Oryzias latipes: one gene and its partners. The protein of the gene in region 1 purifies or fractionates together with the protein of each later gene. This does not show direct contact. Links are inferred from orthologs where the notes say so. Each region holds a gene or a part of one and is shown in the gene's direction. Other genes may lie near its edges.

Region 1 (3,976 bases):
AAGTGTGCATTATCACTTTTTAACACACTTCCCGGAAGCAACATTAACCCTTACATATAGGGTAATGTTAGTTTGCAAAATTTGACTGGAAAAATAGGCTGCAATTACACTGCAGGTCTTAATGCCCAGATACGATTTTCTGACTATGTCCGATTTTTTCTGACAGCCCGCTTACATCATCTTTTAAAAGTGACCCGTATCCGATTTTTGCATTTAAAAAACTACCAAACGTAGATGTTGTCAGGATATGGGGGGCAGGAGAGCAGGTAGGACCCAGAGGCACGAGGCACACGGTTCCAAGACAAGAGGGTTTAATTGCAAACAAAAGGCGCTGCAGAGCAGGATAACCACACAAACCTAAACTTACTGTGGCGTGGCATGAAACATGGCAGAAGACTTACATGGAAGAGACGTTACAACGTTAGTGACGTTAATGGACCAGCACAAGAGGAAGGGAGAGACAAGACTTAAATACAGACAGGGCAGACAAGACACAGGTGAACAAGATCAGGACAGATAGGGACAAGGAAGTAAAACTCAGGAACATGACCAAACAGAACACCTTTCAAAGTGAAACAGGAAACAGAACCAAACATGACAGAACAAGAAATAAAGCAAAAACCAAGACAAAAGAAACCCAAACCATGACAGATGTTCTGAAAAGGAAGGAAAACAACACTTGTTTTCCTTCCTTTTCCGGGTCAGAACGTCTCCAATGAATACCGACAATAATACAATGGATGCTGATGCACATAAAATTATACAGTGTTTTGCTTTCCACACTATTGTGAAAAGTCAGCAAAAAAATCAGCAAAACATTGGTCTCGTACGGCGGAGAAAAAAGAGGAGAGCCCTGGGCGAATTTAGCGATGATTGCTGCAACATCGGTTCAAAGGGAGGGGGGGTATATCATACTCTCAGATGTCATAGATATACAGTTTTGAAACACTTACAAAATTAAAATGAGAGAAAAAAAATCAAAACAATAAATAAAAACAGGAGCCAAATGATAGCACAGGACAGAATAACAGCCACAAGGACATTTGTTTATATATTATTTTAGCACCTACCGAGGATTGTAATCTTTTTAGTGAGGAATAATATAATTTAAATTTGTTGATAAAGCCTGGGAAGGAGGGCCTGATACCTCTCTACTTGCAACAGTGGATATGGTATTTTCCTAAAAGTAAAATGATAATGATATTTTAGAATCATCTAGATTTTCCATTAACAGTTGTACATCAGAAATACTAAAAGGGTGAATGTTCAGTTGTAAATTAATCCCATTCCTTATGTGAGTTCAGAACTCTTTTGAGTAATTGCATGAAAAAAAATGTTCCAACGTTTCCTTATTTGATGAGGTTGTTGTTTTTCCCGCTCGGGTTTTTTTTTTTTTTTTTCGTCTGAGTGTCCTTGCGACTCCGCGCCAGCGGGTGGCGGTGTGGCGCCCATTCACCGTTTTCCAACCGCTCCTGCTGCAGCTCCACCAGAAGAAAAGCTATCCGTTAGCTGGAAGGAGCCTTCACACACACACACACTCAAAAAGCATGAAGCGGCCTTAAAAATATGAAAGGAACTAAAGACGCGGCCTCACCAAAGTCTGTCTCCTCACGGTATGTTTCTGCATCACGTGACGGTGTGAAAGAAGAACAGAAAGTGAGGCGGGAACGGGGTTTTTTTCCGCGCGCGGCGGCTAGCTTCGAGGCGTTAGCCGGATGCTATTTATGAACACAGCTCCGCTCCTATTAGTCTAAATAATCGGTTAAAACTTTAAAAAAACCGTTATTTTTGCGTAAATTAAACGATACATTTGAACATTTTAGAGTTTTGTTGAAAATAAACGTCAGCGTGCTCGATTATGTCTGTGCATCTTGTAGAATGTGTTATATTTACTCTATAATAAACGGGTTATAATGAGCTTATATTTTTATTAAACAGTGTGTATTTTATAATGTGGATAACTACAATAAATATGTTTTGTTAGTGTTTAAGATAATATAAATCTATGTAGTTTGTCATCCTCACAGGTTGTCAACTGGTCAAAAATGTTTGATAATTTGCAGCATATTTAATGTATTTTCAATGATTTGATTGTTTATGCTCCCTTCAGGTGCGTGTTTTCCACTCTCACAAACAAACATGACTGAGGCCCATCACGCCGGGATGTCCTCGGCTCCAACGCCGCTGCCACACTCCGAGTCCGGCTCCCCGGCAGCAGAGATGGACCCGGTGGAGTACACGCTCAGGAAGCGGCTCCCCCGGAAGCTTCCCAAGCGGCGGAACGACGTCTACGTCAACATGAAGACGGATTTCCGAGCCCAGCTGGCGCGCTGCCAGAAGCTCCTGGACGGAGGGGGCCACCGGGAGATCTGCGTCCACGGCCTGGGCCTCGCCATCAACCGAGCCATCAACATCGCGCTGCAGCTGCAGGCCGGCAGCCAGGGAGCGCTGCAGCTGGCGGCCAACACCTCCACCGTGGAGCTCGTCGACGACCTGGAGCCCGAAGATCCCGATGAGAGCGGGGAGCCCATGACGCGCACGCGCAACAACTCCGCCATTCACATTAAAGTCTTCTACCCTGAACCTTAGTGACTAGAAACCCACCATGAAGACCCTGTACAGCTTCCACCATCTGTTTATGCTGATAATAACTTTTTGGGACCTTTATTGTGAAGTTCAAGGAGCTGCAGGCCACCTTAGTTTCTGCTAAGATTCAACTTCCCATTGTTGTTGTTTTTTTTCTTTTCATAAAATCATCAAGTGAAACTTTTACGATGTATTTGTGAACATGTGCCACATTTATTTATTTTAAAAACCTTTAAGCCTGCATGTACTCAGAAAAAATAAAAAACCAAACGTAAAAATAACTTTTCAATTGACTGTCATACCCATGAATGTCCACTAGATGTCAGTATTTAGCTACAGAGGTTTTCCAATCACAAGTTGTCAGTTTTCTTCAAAGTAATTTTTCGTTCTTTAAATACAACACCTACGTTTAAATATACGTGTCAGGGTCGAGATCAGAAAAAAATAAGCCTCAAGTCTTGAAAATATGATGGAAGAAAAATACGTTTTTGTTTGCACTTAAATAGCCAGTTTTACAATGACGGAACAAAAACAGTACAACTAAACAGGAAAGAAAAGAGGAAAAACATCGTCGAAAACGTCTCCGACTTACGCAGCAAAGTACAAAAACAAGGAAGACCCTTCAACGAGTTCCATCTGCGAGAATCCCTTTTTCAACGTCAAAGCATAAGTTCCCAGGATCAGCTGATTGCATGGCGTCGAGATTCTGGAAAGTGGCGATTAAAGCTGCACAGGATGTTTCGTTGCACGGATCTTCCGGCAGAAATTGAACAAACAGTTTCACAGTCGAGGGGGACTCTCACACACCGACTGAAACGCTGAGTCACGTGAGGTGTGACTCAGCCTTTCTCACACACAGGATCTTCCTAGAAAAGCAGCGACTGATGAGAACATCTTTGTGTGCAAATGTTCAGCAGGATGTGAAAAAGGTCTTAAACCATATAAAAACTGTATAAATAACTTTTACATCACTTAAAAAATACAATTTCTGTGAGATTACATGTTTTCGTGGAGACTGGAAAAAGGCACGTGAAGATAAAACCACTTTGTTTTTTCTCTTTTTTTCTACGCTACGTCACCGATTTCCAGGATGCGATCAATATCTTCCAAGTGTTCCACTCCACCATCCACCTCCACAAAGGAAAGAGCAGGGGTCAAACCCACGGAAACCACCAGCCTCATTGCTAACATACAAAAGTACATCCATACGCAAAGTGCAAGGGAGTGCCTGTTAGAACGGCTATTGGTGCGGTGATCCCCGCATGGTTTTTTATCAGGGCGTGTAGTCACATCTACAGTCCAAGGTCCCATCTGTCCAAAAGCCTTGCTGGGGGACCGTCCTCTGTGCAACAAGACTGCGGTCTTTTCCCCCCGCACAGCGACCAGCGTG
Region 2 (4,703 bases), on another chromosome or scaffold:
GCCCAAGTTAACAAGAGCCTGAAGGAAAAGGGGAAGAATTATCAATGGATACCACCACACATCACAGTAGAACTAGAACCTGCATCTCTCTCTCCACCATGAAAAAAAAAAAACCTTCTGCATTTGCTTCACCTTGTGGTGAGAAGTCAACATGTTTTCTTTTCCCTGCATTTGTGATCATTGCAACTTGAAAGAAAATACTCAATTCATGATTCTCAAGTTCCTTGATCTGTAGCTCAACAAAAAAAAATCTGCACCTTAGTTACACTTTAGAGTCCCACTCTGATCATCTTTTGATCCGTTTTCAAAGCGTTCCCGGTGTTCTTTTAATTATGATTATGCCAAGTTTAGCCAAAACCAGGAATCCTGGGTCGTTTTCCAGGACATAATTTCTGCAGAGCGACAGTAGTACAGTAGTCGTGAAAGCCTGCCCCCTTTCCATCATCTGTTTACCCCGTCTTCCACTAGCTTACGTTCCCTCGTATCCCCAACCTAACATTGGCGGTGCAACAAAAATGGCGAGCAATATCGGAGCCGTGGAGATTCCAGCTCAGACGAGAAAAATGAGGACACACACGTGTCTATTTGTCTACAAGTGGATGCATCAGAATGGAGAGGGGCAGGGAGCTAGTGGCCCACTGGGGTAACTTGTCAGCCACACTTACAAGCTTTTTCCAGCTGCATTTTTGCATCTGCTCCTGATTTACAACAATTGGAAGAAATACCCAGACATGCTATTATAAGCTTAATTTCTTTATATGTCCTTAATTATCAGAAAAAGGTCACAAGAACATGTTAAAAACACCAAAAAAACTCATTTTCGTAAAGGTGGGTCTTTAGCTTGTTCACAATCCACCTTTGTAGTTTGAGAAGGAAAGCTACAAATGTTTTAAGAGAAGCCGTGTGGTCACCTGTCTGGTTTGTGCTTGAACGCCTCCTTCCACCAGCTGTGTGGTGGCGGGATCCATCCCCAGCTGTCCTGATATGAACATGGTCCGATCAACCAGCACCGCCTGGCTGGAAGACAACAGCACCACAGTATCAGCCTATTTCAAAAAGATTTCATGGAAAAATAAAAAATCATGTCTACAGCTGCAATGTAGGTTTTATGATTAAATTCATTTTATAAGCTAACTTTTACTTTGAAAGCTTTTTTTTTGTGAGGAAAAAAAACAAAAAAAGCTTCAGGTTAATAGTTTTTAGAGACCAGACAAAAGTTTACTCTAAAGTCAAAAATAATTTGAGTTGGTCAAAGAAATAAATCAAAAGGAAAATGGAAGGGGGGGCGGGGGGGGGCGGACACACGGTATGATTATGTTAAGGCTGCATTTAGATTAATTTAAGATTAGGCAAATTTCATTTGATTTTTATTATTCGTTTTTATTTGTAATTATATTAAATATTAGAACTCAAATAAAAGTTTCTTAAAGAAATATGGTTAACAGCAGCTAAACTTTTCCACAGTGGTGCGGTGTAAAGTCCACAGTGAAGAAGCGTGCACTTGTTTGTTTGGTGTAGTGTCCGTCCAGAGACGGTCGGATTCGTACTCCGCTCACCTGTATGGACCGATGGCAGCAGGAGCTTTAGTCGTGCTGATGATCTTCTTGATTAACGCAGACATGTTTCTGAACTCATGCAGGGTGAAAGCAGGCGTGTGAAGGCGAAAACACGAAGGGAAACTAATTTATAAATAAAGATTGGGAAAAAAACGACGGAGAACAGTTGGATCCGCCTTACCGTAAATGACAACTAACAGTCGCAAAATGTACCTGACTTTTTAAAGAAAGTTATTTTGTCTTAATTTTTTTTACAGTAAAATTATATATTTATAGTGAAGCAAGAAAAAAACAACGCTATCCTAAAAGATAAATTGCTATGTCGACGTGTTTTCTCCTGACTCGCTAGTCTTTTCGGCAACTGAACTACAAATTCCAAGAGTACCACGAACCCGGAAGCAAATCGACGTAAGCTGACATTAATTAAACCCATGTGGTTGTTAGCTGTAGCGACAACATTGAACTGCATCCGACTTAATTTTGTGATAGACATTTTTGATTTACCTCTTTTTTATACATAAGTTACGTTTGAATCAGTCTGCTAGATCCAAGTTTGGGAGAAAAAACTTCAGATTCAGTGTGAGCTAACGTAGCTAGCTGGCTTATTATTTGGACTTTTTCGGGATTTCTTCTTTTTATTTATGTTTTGTGGCGGTTAAGACTAGAGAAAATGTCTGCTTCCAAGGTGAAGATGAGGGACAGGAAGATGAAGAACCAGCCTGCCAGCGTGCAGTATTCGTCTCCTTCCGCCGCGGCGGGTAGCAGCAGCCAGAACGGACGACAAGAAGCGAAGGACTCCGGTATTGACACGGCCCACTGTCACGAGTGGGGACTGCCGCTGCGTGGTCAGCACATGGTGGCGGCAGGCCACTCAGCCCTGCATTCACTGTGTGCTTTTCCCCTTAGCCTTTTATATGATTGACATTTAGGTGGCATGATGATGCTGGTCAGAAAGACACAACATCAGTGTTGTCTTGTATATTCTGCATTAAAATTCTCTAAATGTCCTGACCACACATGTCTGACGCCTCATTAAAGGAAACAGTGGTTTGAAAAGCAAAACGCTGTTTGTTCTGATCTTTTCTGCTAGGATGGCAGAGGAACCCTCCTCCCAGGACTGGATGGGTTCGTGGAAATCAGAGAGATGGAGGAGGAGGTTACATGAAGGAGATGCCCAAATACATCACCGGTGAGGAGACGCTTCACTCCTGCAAACACAGGCAAAAGTTGTTTATGTCACGAACTTCATTTATGAGCAGAATCCCTTCATATGCACAACATCAACCACATTTCCCATGACATTTGGGAAATTATTTGACAAAGGCGATGGCAGCTTTCTTTTTTTTTCCCTTTACCATTTGATGCCTTTTCTTTAAACACTTTCTTGTTAATTCCTAAAAACAATTAAAATGCTGGGAAACCTTATAAATGGTCTGTCAGAGCCCCTTTTTCCTACAGTTTCCTAAAAGTCCTTCTATTGTTCTCCTCACCAAGCTGGAGCGTTTGCCAGGAGCAGGGCTGCAGAGGTGAAGGCCATGCTGAAAGCAGTGACCAAGAGAACGGGCAGCAACCATGTCTTCCAGGCTCTGCCCAAACACATGAGGAGACGCGCCATGAGCCACAACACCAAGAGGCTTCCCCGCAGGCTGAGAGATGTGGCGAGCAAAATGGTAATTTCTGCAAATGCTCTCAGCTGCTTTAGTGATTCATCCATGCTCCGTGTGCGCTCACATACGCTCCTCCATCAGCGGGAAAAGAGCCTCCAGGCCGGCTCGAAGAAGAAGAAGGAGCTACCAAAGAGTAAAAGCCGCAAAGCTCGCCGGCGCCACGGCAACCTGTTGCTGGAGTTCAATCGCCGCCAGCGCAAGAACATTTGGTTAGAGACGCACATTTGGCACGCCAAGCGTTTCCACATGGTAAAGAAGTGGGGTTACCGTCTCGGGGACAGACCAACGTGCAAGTGCTACCGGCCGTGCTATAGAGCAATGAGCAGCCACTGCCTGCTGCTGGTAAAACACTCTGTTTTTATTTATATGAAAACATCCAGGAGATAGATAAACTGCTTTTTTTTAGTTATTTTTTTCATCTATGCAGGACATTTCTTATTACTGCTGCATTGAGCTGCAGGGAGAGGAGGACACGCTGTTGACTGCTCTGTCACAGCTGACCAGCAAGGAGACGGGTGAGGGCTGTTACTACTTTCTTTTTACCACGTTAAAAAAAAAAAACACAGGCTGCCTTTTTTGACTTTCTGAGACTAATTTAAAGATCCACCCTGATGAAAAGGTGCTTTTGGTGTTTTTAACTTGTTCTTGTGGCATTTTTGTGATGGTTCAGGAAATGTATAAAGAAAATTTGGATTGAAAGTGCATTTCAGCACAATCATGATCAAAAGACCACTGGGAACACTTGAAAATAGATCGTAAGATGATCAAAGTGGGACTTTAAGTACGGTAATAAAACTCTGAATTGTGGTTGACATTTTTCCAGGCCCTACCTTTGCTGCAGCTCTGTGCCTGTCTGGGTGCAGACAGGGCAGCGTTACGGTGTACAGAGCGGGGCAGTACCCCTCACACCCTCTGGGCCCCGTCACATTTCTTTGGAGACCTCGAGCAGAAGGCTCAGCCAGCAGGCAGCTGTGGATCTGGGCGCATCCCGCTCTGAAGCAGGTAAACGGCTGCTTTTAAATCCTCACAGGGGGGTTTGGGTTGTTGGTACACCAGTCAGTGTCGAGTCAGTCACAGCAAGCTGGTTGATTTCAGCTGATGTGTTCCTCTTCAGGATCTTCTCCCAGAGTTGCAAAGAGTGTGTGAGTGCTTTGAGGCGGTGGTGCCCCCGGTTATCCCAGTGGCCACACCTGCAGAGTCTGCTTCCACCCTGGAGTCTGAGCCAAAGCCTGAGGTCTCCCCTAAAGCCAAGGTGACACCTGGAGGAAAGAGGAAACGGAGCCGTGTGGACGCAGGTGGACCTCCTGCTAAGAAGATCTTGGGAGACGGAACCAGATCACCCGACACTCCAGTCACCTGGAAGTCCAGCTCAACTGGAATCGTAATAAAGTCAGTGAATGAACTGAGCAACTGTTTGGAGGAGGTGATTCTGTTTCATTCACGTATCTGGTCATCTGTCGTAGCGATCTCACGATGGAGA
Region 3 (4,499 bases), on another chromosome or scaffold:
AGGTGATCCAGAGTATCCATACAGTCTAATGCACAGAACAGAAAGGTAAAAGGACAGCTGGTTGTGGACCCTGCTAATAGAATGGAGATGCTAGGGTCGGGTGAAGGCAGTTTTTCCAGAAACAAGTTGAACATCGGGTGACATACAGAGTGGAGGGTTGAGCACACAAGTCCATTTTGTTTTGTGAGGAATAAACTAAAGGATCTCTGAGAGAGAGAGAGAGAGAGAGAGAGAGAGACAGACAGACAGACAGACAGAATGGCTGAAGAATGAAGGAACGTGTTCAATTCAATTCAATTTTATTTATATAGCCCAATTTCACAACAACAGTCGTCTCAATGGGCTTTGTACCGGTAATTGTAAGGTAAACATACAATCAAAAAAGGAACATAAATGGTTCTGGTTTCATTCTTAAGAAGTCTGGAGGTGTAGAGTCATGGCATATAGAGTGTCAGACGAGTGAGGGTGAGGCCACAGAACTACAAAAAATGAGGGATCTGCGAGGGATATTACCATTTGCTCAGAGACAGCAGAAGGCTTTCTTATTGAGATGTTTTAAAGCATAATTTAAAACCAAGACAACAAAAAACAAAACAAAGATGACATAAAACAAAACGTTTAAGGCCAACGCAGCAGGAATATAGATGAGAAAGGTGAACGGATGATGGTTTTCCATGTGGCGCTTATAGTCCAAGTCCCCTTTGCCTTTTGACCCAGCAAAAAGTCCCTTAGATGGGCAGACTGACAGGTGAGGTCAGACAGGAATCTCTTCGGACCATGATGCTTGCAGATGACACCGTGATCTGCAGTGAGCAGGTGGAAGAACATCTAGAGAGTTGGAGGTTTGCTCTGGACAAAAGAAGAATGAAGATCAGATGCAGGAATGGTGAGGTTACAGAGGAAAGAGGTGAACAAGGAGGAGCACTTTAAAGACTTAGGGTCAACTATCTACAACAGCCGAGAGTGTGTGAAAGAGTGTGTGTGCAAGCAGGTTGGAATGGGTGGAGGAAGGATTTGTGTGTGATGTAACAAAAGAGTGTCATCAAGAATGAAAGGAAAGGTGCAGAAGACTGCGGTGAGAGCAGTCATGTTGGTAGAGACACTAAAACAGAGACAGGAGGCAGCTGAAATGAAGAAGCTGAAGTTATCTTTGAGAGTGCCTACCATGACAAAGGTGGATAAAGGTGGAAAGATTTCATGTAATCCATGGACACCAGTGAAGATCACAAATCATTGAAGAAAAAAGGTTCAGAGCACTGTCTAGTCTAGTGGGTCTAGATGACCCAACTCCCAATGTTAAAGTGCCTAGGATAGCACAAGGGTTAAATGACCAGCCAAGAACGTTAATGACAACAGTTTTAACCCCTTTTGCTGTGAATAAAAAGAAACTTAAAAAATATTATATACTCTACTGTACACTTAAAATAATAATAACATACATCTATATTATATATCTATATCTATATAGATATATAAAGAATGCTGCTCTCTGCTCACTCCCACCCCAGTGACAGAAACAAACGGACCCACTCTCAAATCACGTAACGTCCTATGACGATTAACCAATAGAATTCCAGTATACAGGGCACTCTGACCAATCAGAAGTCTCGATGGAAACTAGTGTGTTTACCTAACCTGCAGTGTTATATTCAGGCCAAAATCGGCACAAGCAACGCAGTGGCTGAAGTTTCTGTATTGTAGTCATGTCACAGCGTATGTCCACCGCTAATGCATCCTCCTCTTTAAGCTCATTTCTCTACATCTAGCGAGAGGTAAGCGGACAAGAACAACAAGACATTTATTCCTCTGACGAGAGGAGATGCTAGCTCCGAGCTCTCACTGTCTGGGAAGCTATGATGATCCGGTTCTCTTATGTATATATATGCATAAACGAATGTAACTAGCAGAGCCACAAACACGGCCGTTAAAAAATGTTTTTAAACAACACGTTAGGATTTTCCCTCCGTTTTGCATACATACATTGTCTAAAATGACATGACGCAGCTTTGGCTGGAGGAGGATCTAGTCTGTTAGCTAACGTTAGCTTGACTGGAACTTCTAGGAACACGATCAAAGAAATTGATTTTATTGAGTATTTAAAAGTTCAAAATATTTAAGCTTATGCTGTAGGCTATAATACCAATCATATGTGACATCGCCAGAACATTACATAACACTCAGCCTTAGTGCGTCGTTGGCTCTTTCCCCCTAAGGGCTACCAGATGTCAACCAACCAATGTGGAAACAGGAGGATGTTTGTGTCGAAAGGTAGAGCAGTCAATCTTTGGAAAACTAAAACACCCAACATTTTTAGTGGAATAAAATACATGTCAGCATAAAAAGTTTATTTACTCTTCTGTTTAGGTGGACAGCATAAAGGGCAGTGAGCTTAATCTACGAGTGTGAAGTTTGACAAAAACCTACATTGTAGAATAAAATAAAACTTTATTAATCCCACAATAAATTAACTTGTTACCATAGTTATATTAAATCAGCAGATGGAAAAAACAAAACAACTCTCAAAATACACATAGAAATGAATAGCAAACGTTTTTGTCCAGTGTCTGTGAGGCACTGTAGACTGAAGGGGCTCCTAAGTGCACCCATGGTTTTATGCAAAGCTTGATGATAAAGAGATTATGGATCCGGTTTCCATAACATCCTCCACTCGCCCACTACAGTCAGAGACTAGGGTACATCCCAGGATGGAGCCAGATCTCTGCACCAGTTTGTCCATCCTCTTCCCGTTCTTGTCATCTGCCCTCCTCCAAGAGGCTCACTCTGTAGAAGAGTGCGGATGCAACAATACAATCATAAAAAACTCATTAAGGGTCCTGCAAACTCTGAGGGACCACAGTCTCCTTAGCCTCTCCTGCAATTCCTGGTTGCTCCTTCTGCTGTATATTAATTGTTGCCAAGCAACAACAGCTGGTGGTGTAAACGAAGCACCCACAGTCCACGTCAGATCCAGATGTTTTGGGGAATAGTCCAAAGAGGAGTAGCAGGCATGCCACCGTATCAAAAAAAAGATTAATAAGAAGATAAAACAATACAAAAAACCCTACAAAAACAAGTAAGCAAACACGGAGGTATTGTAACTGACGGCCTACCACGATATCAGAAAAAACAAAACAAAGAAAAACCCGTTTTAACCCCACTATTTCATTTACCAGCCATTTTCCCACATTTTGAATAAAGTCTGGGGTTTATTGCATCTACATCACTTCAAAATAAAGTCTTGAAACTGCAAGACATCAATAACTTTATACGACAAGGAACACGGGATGAAAGTTTGGCTGAAATTCTCAATTATTTAATCAAGACTTGTTTTGTGTCCTTTGTAAACTTTAGCAGGTGCTCATGTGCTCCTCTTAAAATATGTTGGATTGTAATATATCTCTGTAGACTCATGAAACGACTTGATATGATTTGACTTTAAGGTGTACAATTGTTGATTTTATTGCGTTTAATATCAATAACATTTGTGAAAACGTTTTTCCTCCTCAGGTGAACTCTACAATTATGGCGTTTTAAAACAGAAAGGGATCCTTTGGGGGGAAGGAGGCCTTTCCCCTCAGGTTTGGTGGACTGTTGGATCAGAAGGACTACTGGTTGTTGAAGTTGTTGCATTTTGTAAATGATTAGGTGAAAATACTATTTTTGCAAGTTCTGAGATAGAAATTTTTGTATAAAACACATGAAATTTTGTATTTATTGAATTTAGGATGTCATTATATGCTGCAAGCAGCATTGTTTATTTTCAAACCTCGGTCAATATGGTGGACTGAGTCAAGTCCAGCTAAGGCCCTGGGGTTGCTAGGGTGCAGTGGAACCTCAACACAGGCACGATTCTAGCACTCCAGATCATCTCGACTTCTTCTGTTCCTAAACCTCACACCACACGTTTTCGGTGGGGGTTGGAACTGGGGCTGGTGGATTTGTCTGAAGGACTTTGTAACAGAAGGAAAGCGGTTTCACAATAAAAATTAGTTGGAGGCCAGGATGAGTCTGGCACCAGCAGACTGCACCCCCAAATGCCGGTCCCAACAGCACGCAGACCAGGTCATAGCTGCCTTAACTGGGGGGTCCGAGAGGCAACTCAAGGCGTTTCTGACTTCATATTGTCACAATGCAACCACCCTGCGCGACGCGTTTGGCCGCACGGCCCTTCACCTCGCGGCCTCGCTGGGAAAGAAAGCGGTGCTGGAGTGGCTGCTGGAGAGCAAGGGGGCAGACCTTATGGTAAAGGATAAGGAATCTGGCTGGACTGCTCTGCATCGCAGCGCTTTCTATGGACAGATTCACTGCCTCACATCACTCATCAAGGTATAGTTCATCTAAAAAGCTGTGCTATTCAGTTTTGTTTAGAGATGCTCTTTTTTCTTCTCTAACAATAAATATAATGACCAAAACATTGTTGCTTTATTGTCACAAGTGGAAAAAATGATGAAATATTGTTTTGCTTTGGTTTTAGCATGGTGGACTTCTTTCCACCCAGG
Region 4 (4,803 bases), on another chromosome or scaffold:
CATAAGAATACCCTAACAACAGAAATATCTTTATTATTCAAACAAACATTGCCATATCTTGTTAGAGATTAAGTAATTTTCTTTCGCTAGGGAAAAAAAACATTTTTTGTTTTTAATGAGTTGAACATTATTCCAAATACTTGGAGGGTTTTTGCAAGTCTTACATGCCATATTTGCTGATGATTTCCTTAGCATTTGTAATGTAGGTTGACATGGCATCATCCTTGGACATTCCTGAAAAATTGTGTAAACAATGGAAAAAGCATCAGTGATAGCATACCATTGAAACAGACATTAAAATCCCCACTGGTATAAAAAGGGTTACCTTTTTTTTATAAAAATCAAAACTTAAGATATTTTTTTAACCGTAAATCAAAATGAAATATGGAGAAATTGCAGTTGAAGAGAATTGGGATGTGACATTTGTGATTTACAAATGATGGATTTGTTTAGCAGATTGCTTAGGATAACCTACATCCATTTTTACCCATACTTTGTCAATACTTTATTTCACAGATTTCAGTCAATAAAGCAAACCTGTCATTTTACAAACATTATTATTACCTTTTCTTGAATTCCAAGATTCCCACTTTGCCCTTCCTGTGGCATCTAGCGCTCCTGGTTTGTCTGATGTTGAGAAACACCAAAGAGGAGGGTTGCTTTAAATTCTGCATGCAATGAAGTTAATGCAAAAAAGTGCATTGATCCCTTACCTATGTTAATGTCTCCAACAAGGGATTGCTTATAAAGACCATATAGGGTCAACAATTCGTCGTTTGAAGGCCTAGTCTTTACCTTCTTCACATCCTCTGCCACCGTCTTAAAATCTGCCTTTAAATGAATAGAAGATCGGCTATAAAACAGTATGTGAACTTAATAGTTAAAATATAGGCAACTTTTAATATAAGAAACGAGGTTTTGTAAAAATGTGCATATTAATAAGTTGCAGGCAACACCAAATCAAAAATGTGGGCATAGTGTTTCAGCCAGGGCGCAAAGCCTGGGAAACCAAAGTTTTGGGGAAACAATGGGCTTTTATTTCAGACTCTGGGGCTTTTGTGGCTGTCTGAATAATCTGCTTTACACAGGATGTAAGGCATTGCTGCGCAGATCATTATGCACACTTAAGACAGATCTAAACCCGAAAACCATGTGCTGTACAGAGGTCATTCTTTAAGTTATGACTTACATCCACCTCAACCAAGAGTTTAAATCATCTATTTACATTTTGACATTGAAGCATTTTCGTTGTACACAAACTCTGATATATTCCTGTCAAAGGGTCCAGCATCAGGACCACAGACGGTAAAACATCCTGCTTCTTTCATATCTCGGTCAAAGATGCACGGGGCAACGACCATTACAATGTCATTAGAACATTAACGCTACTATGTGGAATGAAAGTAAAGCTCAACGTGATAAAAAAAAAAGCAAAAAATAAATAAAGAGAAAGAAAAGATAAAGAATAGCAGTTACCTCGAGCGACATCTTTTTGAATCAAAGCAGCAAAAGACCACAGTTGAACGTCGACGGTCTGCACGGTTATGCGCAGCTGTAATTGCAACACAGCTGATCAGTGCAAGATTTGACAACCAATCAGGAGCCTGAGGAGGAGGGACCATGTTTGATCTCAGACGCTGATTAGTTGTCTGTCAACTTCAATGACTTCAGGACAAAAAAATCAGAAACATTAATAGTTGATCTTTTTATGCTTATCCTTCGTGTAATTCCCATTTATCATCATGAAAACAACAAATGTTTTTTTTTCACTGATCGTCGTAAATGTCCAGATAATTCTGTTTGTTTGTCTCCTTTAACTTACATCGTTTTCAGAGAAAATGTCATTAAATGAACGTCGCGTGTCCTTTTCACAAGCCAACATTAGGCGGCGCTGAAGTAAATGAAACTAATAGTTTTTAAATAAAGGTTTCGAATTCAAACAGCATGGCGGCGCCTCAGTTTAACAAGGTAGAGGGAAACGTTTGATGAAACACTCTTTTAGCTTCAAAAGTCACGTAAGTTTTAATGATTTGGTCCATTAGTTTGTCGTCAATGCTTCTCATTTACTGATAAAATGAATGTAAACTGAGCTAAACCTGTCAGAAGGGGAGTTCTTTTAGTTTTAACAGTCGTGCCTTGGGTGGGTCGCGTGCTCCAGATTTTATGCTGTGAACAGTGAAAACTTCTAACATTTTGAGTAAATAAGTCTGATCTCCTGCTAATGTGTTTGGGAGTTGAAAATGCTCCCATTTCTTTCTGTTTACTTCACAAAAAAACTAGAAAAAAATAAATAAGTGATGGAAAACTGTTTAGCTTTTCAATAGTTTGACCATTTTAAATGTCAAGTCCCCTTCTGAGTCTGTGGAGGCCAGGAAAACCTTTTATTAGGATGGCTTGTGTGATTATTAAAATGGCATGACAAACTTCTGTTCAGCCAATTATGTGCTGTGGGGTTAGTGTAGATCATTATTTGGAGAGTTATCACTAAACTAAGTTAGACAACTTTAGAACTGGTCATCAACTTGGTAAACTTTTTGTTTTTTCCAACCACAGGACTAAAGTAAAGATTTTGATCTCATTATGCGAGTTTGTGGTAAAGATTTATTTGTTGATTGAAGACTGAAACTAGCCATTGTTTGGGGTTTGTTCTGCCCGGTGATATAAACTTATGGAAATTAATTTGATACCTGATGATCAAATTTGGGTTTGTTTGATATAGAAAAGGAAAAGGGAAGTGCGGATTCTACTTTAGACCTTTCTTAATTTTGTTTTAATGACAGTACTTTGGAAAAGTTATTTAGCAGAAAACGCTTAGGTTTTTAAATCTAACGTTTCTGGAAAACTTTAAAATCTGATTTCAGACAAGCCATGGCGACTTCTGTAAAGCCAGCCACTAAGAAAAAGCGAATCCAAGCAAAGACCTCCTTCAACTCACCCTTCACCTCACAGTGGAGCCAACTTCCCCAAGAAGATATGCATTTTATCCTGAAAACGTTAACGGACAAAATGATTTCAACAGGTCTGGAGAAAAAAGAGGTGAAAGTGTTTCGATCATGGGGGAAAAGGAAGGAAGAGAAACCTCCTTCAACAGCTGAATCTTTGAGCCAGGAGACTCAGGGGGGTGAGCTCTCCACAAACGGCTGGACGGATGTTGCAGCAAGACGGCAGCTGGCCATCGGCATCAACGAGGTCACTAAAGCTCTGGAGAAGAATGAGCTCCACCTGCTGCTCGTGTGCAAATCTGCCAGACCAAACCACATGACTAATCACCTGATCGCTTTGAGTGCTACACGAGCTGTGCCGGCCTGTCAGGTGCCACGCCTGAGCCAGAGTCTGTCAGAGCCACTGGGCCTGAAAAGTGTCCTCGCACTGGGATTCAGGCGATGCTCCTCTATAGACCAAGAGATGTTCACTGACACTATTGATGCAATCAAACCAAGAGTTCCTCCGCTGGATGTTGCATGGTTACAAGAGGCAGCGCCTAAAGTCCCACCTGAAGTTCTTGTTGGCATGGAAGAGGAGGAGGAGGAGGAGGAGGAGAAGATGGAAAGAGGTCAAAAAAGAAAACTAGAGGTGGAATCTGAGATTCCGGAGGTTCCCTCTTCCTGCACACTGCAGCCTCTTAAAGTGAAGAGAATTGTTGCAAACCCTTCAAAGAAAAGAAAAACCAAACCCGAGAAAAAATCTGTCAAATAAAACAGACACTGGAAAATAGAGGAAAACCCCCTTTTTTTTCAGATAGTTTTGGATTCCTGTTTTGTTTTTATTTTCATTTTTAGTTTCTAAAGTGTTAAATTCAAAGAGTAACCACAGCGAAGTTTCATCATAGACAGGACAGTTTTAATTACTGAATCCAGCTCACTGTTTAGTTTTTGCGGACAGTTTTATTTCCTTCATTGAACGAACACACTTGTTAGTATAATTCACTCATATTGTCTATGAACCAGAATGCTGTTAATAATATATATTTATAACACATGGGTCAAATATAAATGCTTTTGTTTGTTGCATAGAAAGGATATAAATAACAAAAAAACAAGGAGTTGATGATAAGGAGTAGTATTTTATAAATGTACTTTTAATACTGTTTTTATCGCTTTCAAGGTAAAATACTGAAAAATCTAAAATGCTGGGAAAAACAATACAGTAGTAGCTTCATTTGGAAATTTTACTTTACAAAAGAAGTCTACAGTGCAGTTATTTAAATTTGTGAAAGGTGGGGAAAACCTAACATGTATTATAGATGCACATTATTTACACTCTGAAAAGTAATGTGATTAAAAAAATGCTTTTCATTTTAATTCAAGACTCGCCTAATACTGCCACGAACAATATCCCTTTATTACTTCTACATTATAATCATAAAAGTATTAATTGATGTTCTATCAAACTAGCACAATCTGGGATTAGCAGACCAATTAAAGATGCGTAATTTCTTCCTAAAGCAAAATCTTCACTTTTAACTGTCATCCTAACTGAATTTCCTCATTTCAAGTTGATCATACTTATAAAAAAAAATACTATTAGCATCTTTTTTACAGTTTGAAAGCAAATGTCAATGGTTTGCCTTGAAATGCAAAAGAAATGATGCAAAGATTACTCACATTCTCCTTTCAAATGAGTTTATTCAACCAGATTATCAGGTATCCATGCTGGTATAGCGGATGTGTTGAAATGGATTGTTTTGCATGGGTTCACGTTTGAATGAGGCTGGTACGAGTTCTTCAGTTTTAATCACAGCTTATAAGGGCTTTTAATAAAAATACTGTTGTTCAGTTAAGATGTCTGTCAGATCAAAAACTC

What was found. Proteins that work in one complex are often made in the same cells at the same time.
Region 2: the proteins of pop7 (region 1) and pop1 purify together in Homo sapiens (affinity purification with mass spectrometry; 3 studies listed by BioGRID and IntAct, with this or other methods). This does not show direct contact. The link is inferred for Oryzias latipes from reciprocal best matches to the Homo sapiens genes POP7 and POP1.
Region 3: the proteins of pop7 (region 1) and ibtk purify together in Homo sapiens (affinity purification with mass spectrometry; 3 studies listed by BioGRID and IntAct, with this or other methods). This does not show direct contact. The link is inferred for Oryzias latipes from reciprocal best matches to the Homo sapiens genes POP7 and IBTK.
Region 4: the proteins of pop7 (region 1) and rpp38 purify together in Homo sapiens (co-immunoprecipitation; 3 studies listed by BioGRID and IntAct, with this or other methods). This does not show direct contact. The link is inferred for Oryzias latipes from reciprocal best matches to the Homo sapiens genes POP7 and RPP38.

The regions. Positions count from the first base shown.
Region 1 is NC_019876.2:6,185,337-6,189,312, forward strand, and holds pop7 (ribonuclease P protein subunit p20), read left to right. Parts: upstream 1-1,457; 5' UTR 1,458-1,613; intron 1,614-2,110; 5' UTR 2,111-2,139; coding exon 2,140-2,589; 3' UTR 2,590-3,131; downstream 3,132-3,976. UniProt on the Homo sapiens protein: Component of ribonuclease P, a ribonucleoprotein complex that generates mature tRNA molecules by cleaving their 5'-ends. Also a component of the MRP ribonuclease complex, which cleaves pre-rRNA sequences.
Region 2 is NC_019874.2:6,457,012-6,461,714, reverse strand, and holds the start of pop1 (ribonucleases P/MRP protein subunit POP1), read left to right. Parts: upstream 1-1,816; 5' UTR 1,817-2,226; coding exon 2,227-2,356; intron 2,357-2,646; coding exon 2,647-2,745; intron 2,746-3,050; coding exon 3,051-3,226; intron 3,227-3,304; coding exon 3,305-3,565; intron 3,566-3,650; coding exon 3,651-3,738; intron 3,739-4,046; coding exon 4,047-4,225; intron 4,226-4,337; coding exon 4,338-4,612; intron 4,613-4,686; coding exon 4,687-4,703. Other genes in the region: rida (2-iminobutanoate/2-iminopropanoate deaminase), read right to left, coding at 1-18, 912-1,017, 1,557-1,621. UniProt on the Homo sapiens protein: Component of ribonuclease P, a ribonucleoprotein complex that generates mature tRNA molecules by cleaving their 5'-ends. Also a component of the MRP ribonuclease complex, which cleaves pre-rRNA sequences.
Region 3 is NC_019874.2:4,317,642-4,322,140, reverse strand, and holds the start of ibtk (inhibitor of Bruton tyrosine kinase), read left to right. Parts: upstream 1-1,612; 5' UTR 1,613-1,772; intron 1,773-3,507; 5' UTR 3,508-4,002; coding exon 4,003-4,326; intron 4,327-4,474; coding exon 4,475-4,499. UniProt on the Homo sapiens protein: Acts as an inhibitor of BTK tyrosine kinase activity, thereby playing a role in B-cell development. Down-regulates BTK kinase activity, leading to interference with BTK-mediated calcium mobilization and NF-kappa-B-driven transcription.
Region 4 is NC_019874.2:17,912,768-17,917,570, reverse strand, and holds the start of rpp38 (ribonuclease P protein subunit p38), read left to right. Parts: upstream 1-1,916; 5' UTR 1,917-2,015; intron 2,016-2,861; 5' UTR 2,862-2,868; coding exon 2,869-3,696; 3' UTR 3,697-4,803. Other genes in the region: acbd7 (acyl-CoA-binding domain-containing protein 7), read right to left, coding at 161-234, 565-627, 714-831, 1,477-1,488. UniProt on the Homo sapiens protein: Component of ribonuclease P, a ribonucleoprotein complex that generates mature tRNA molecules by cleaving their 5'-ends. Also a component of the MRP ribonuclease complex, which cleaves pre-rRNA sequences.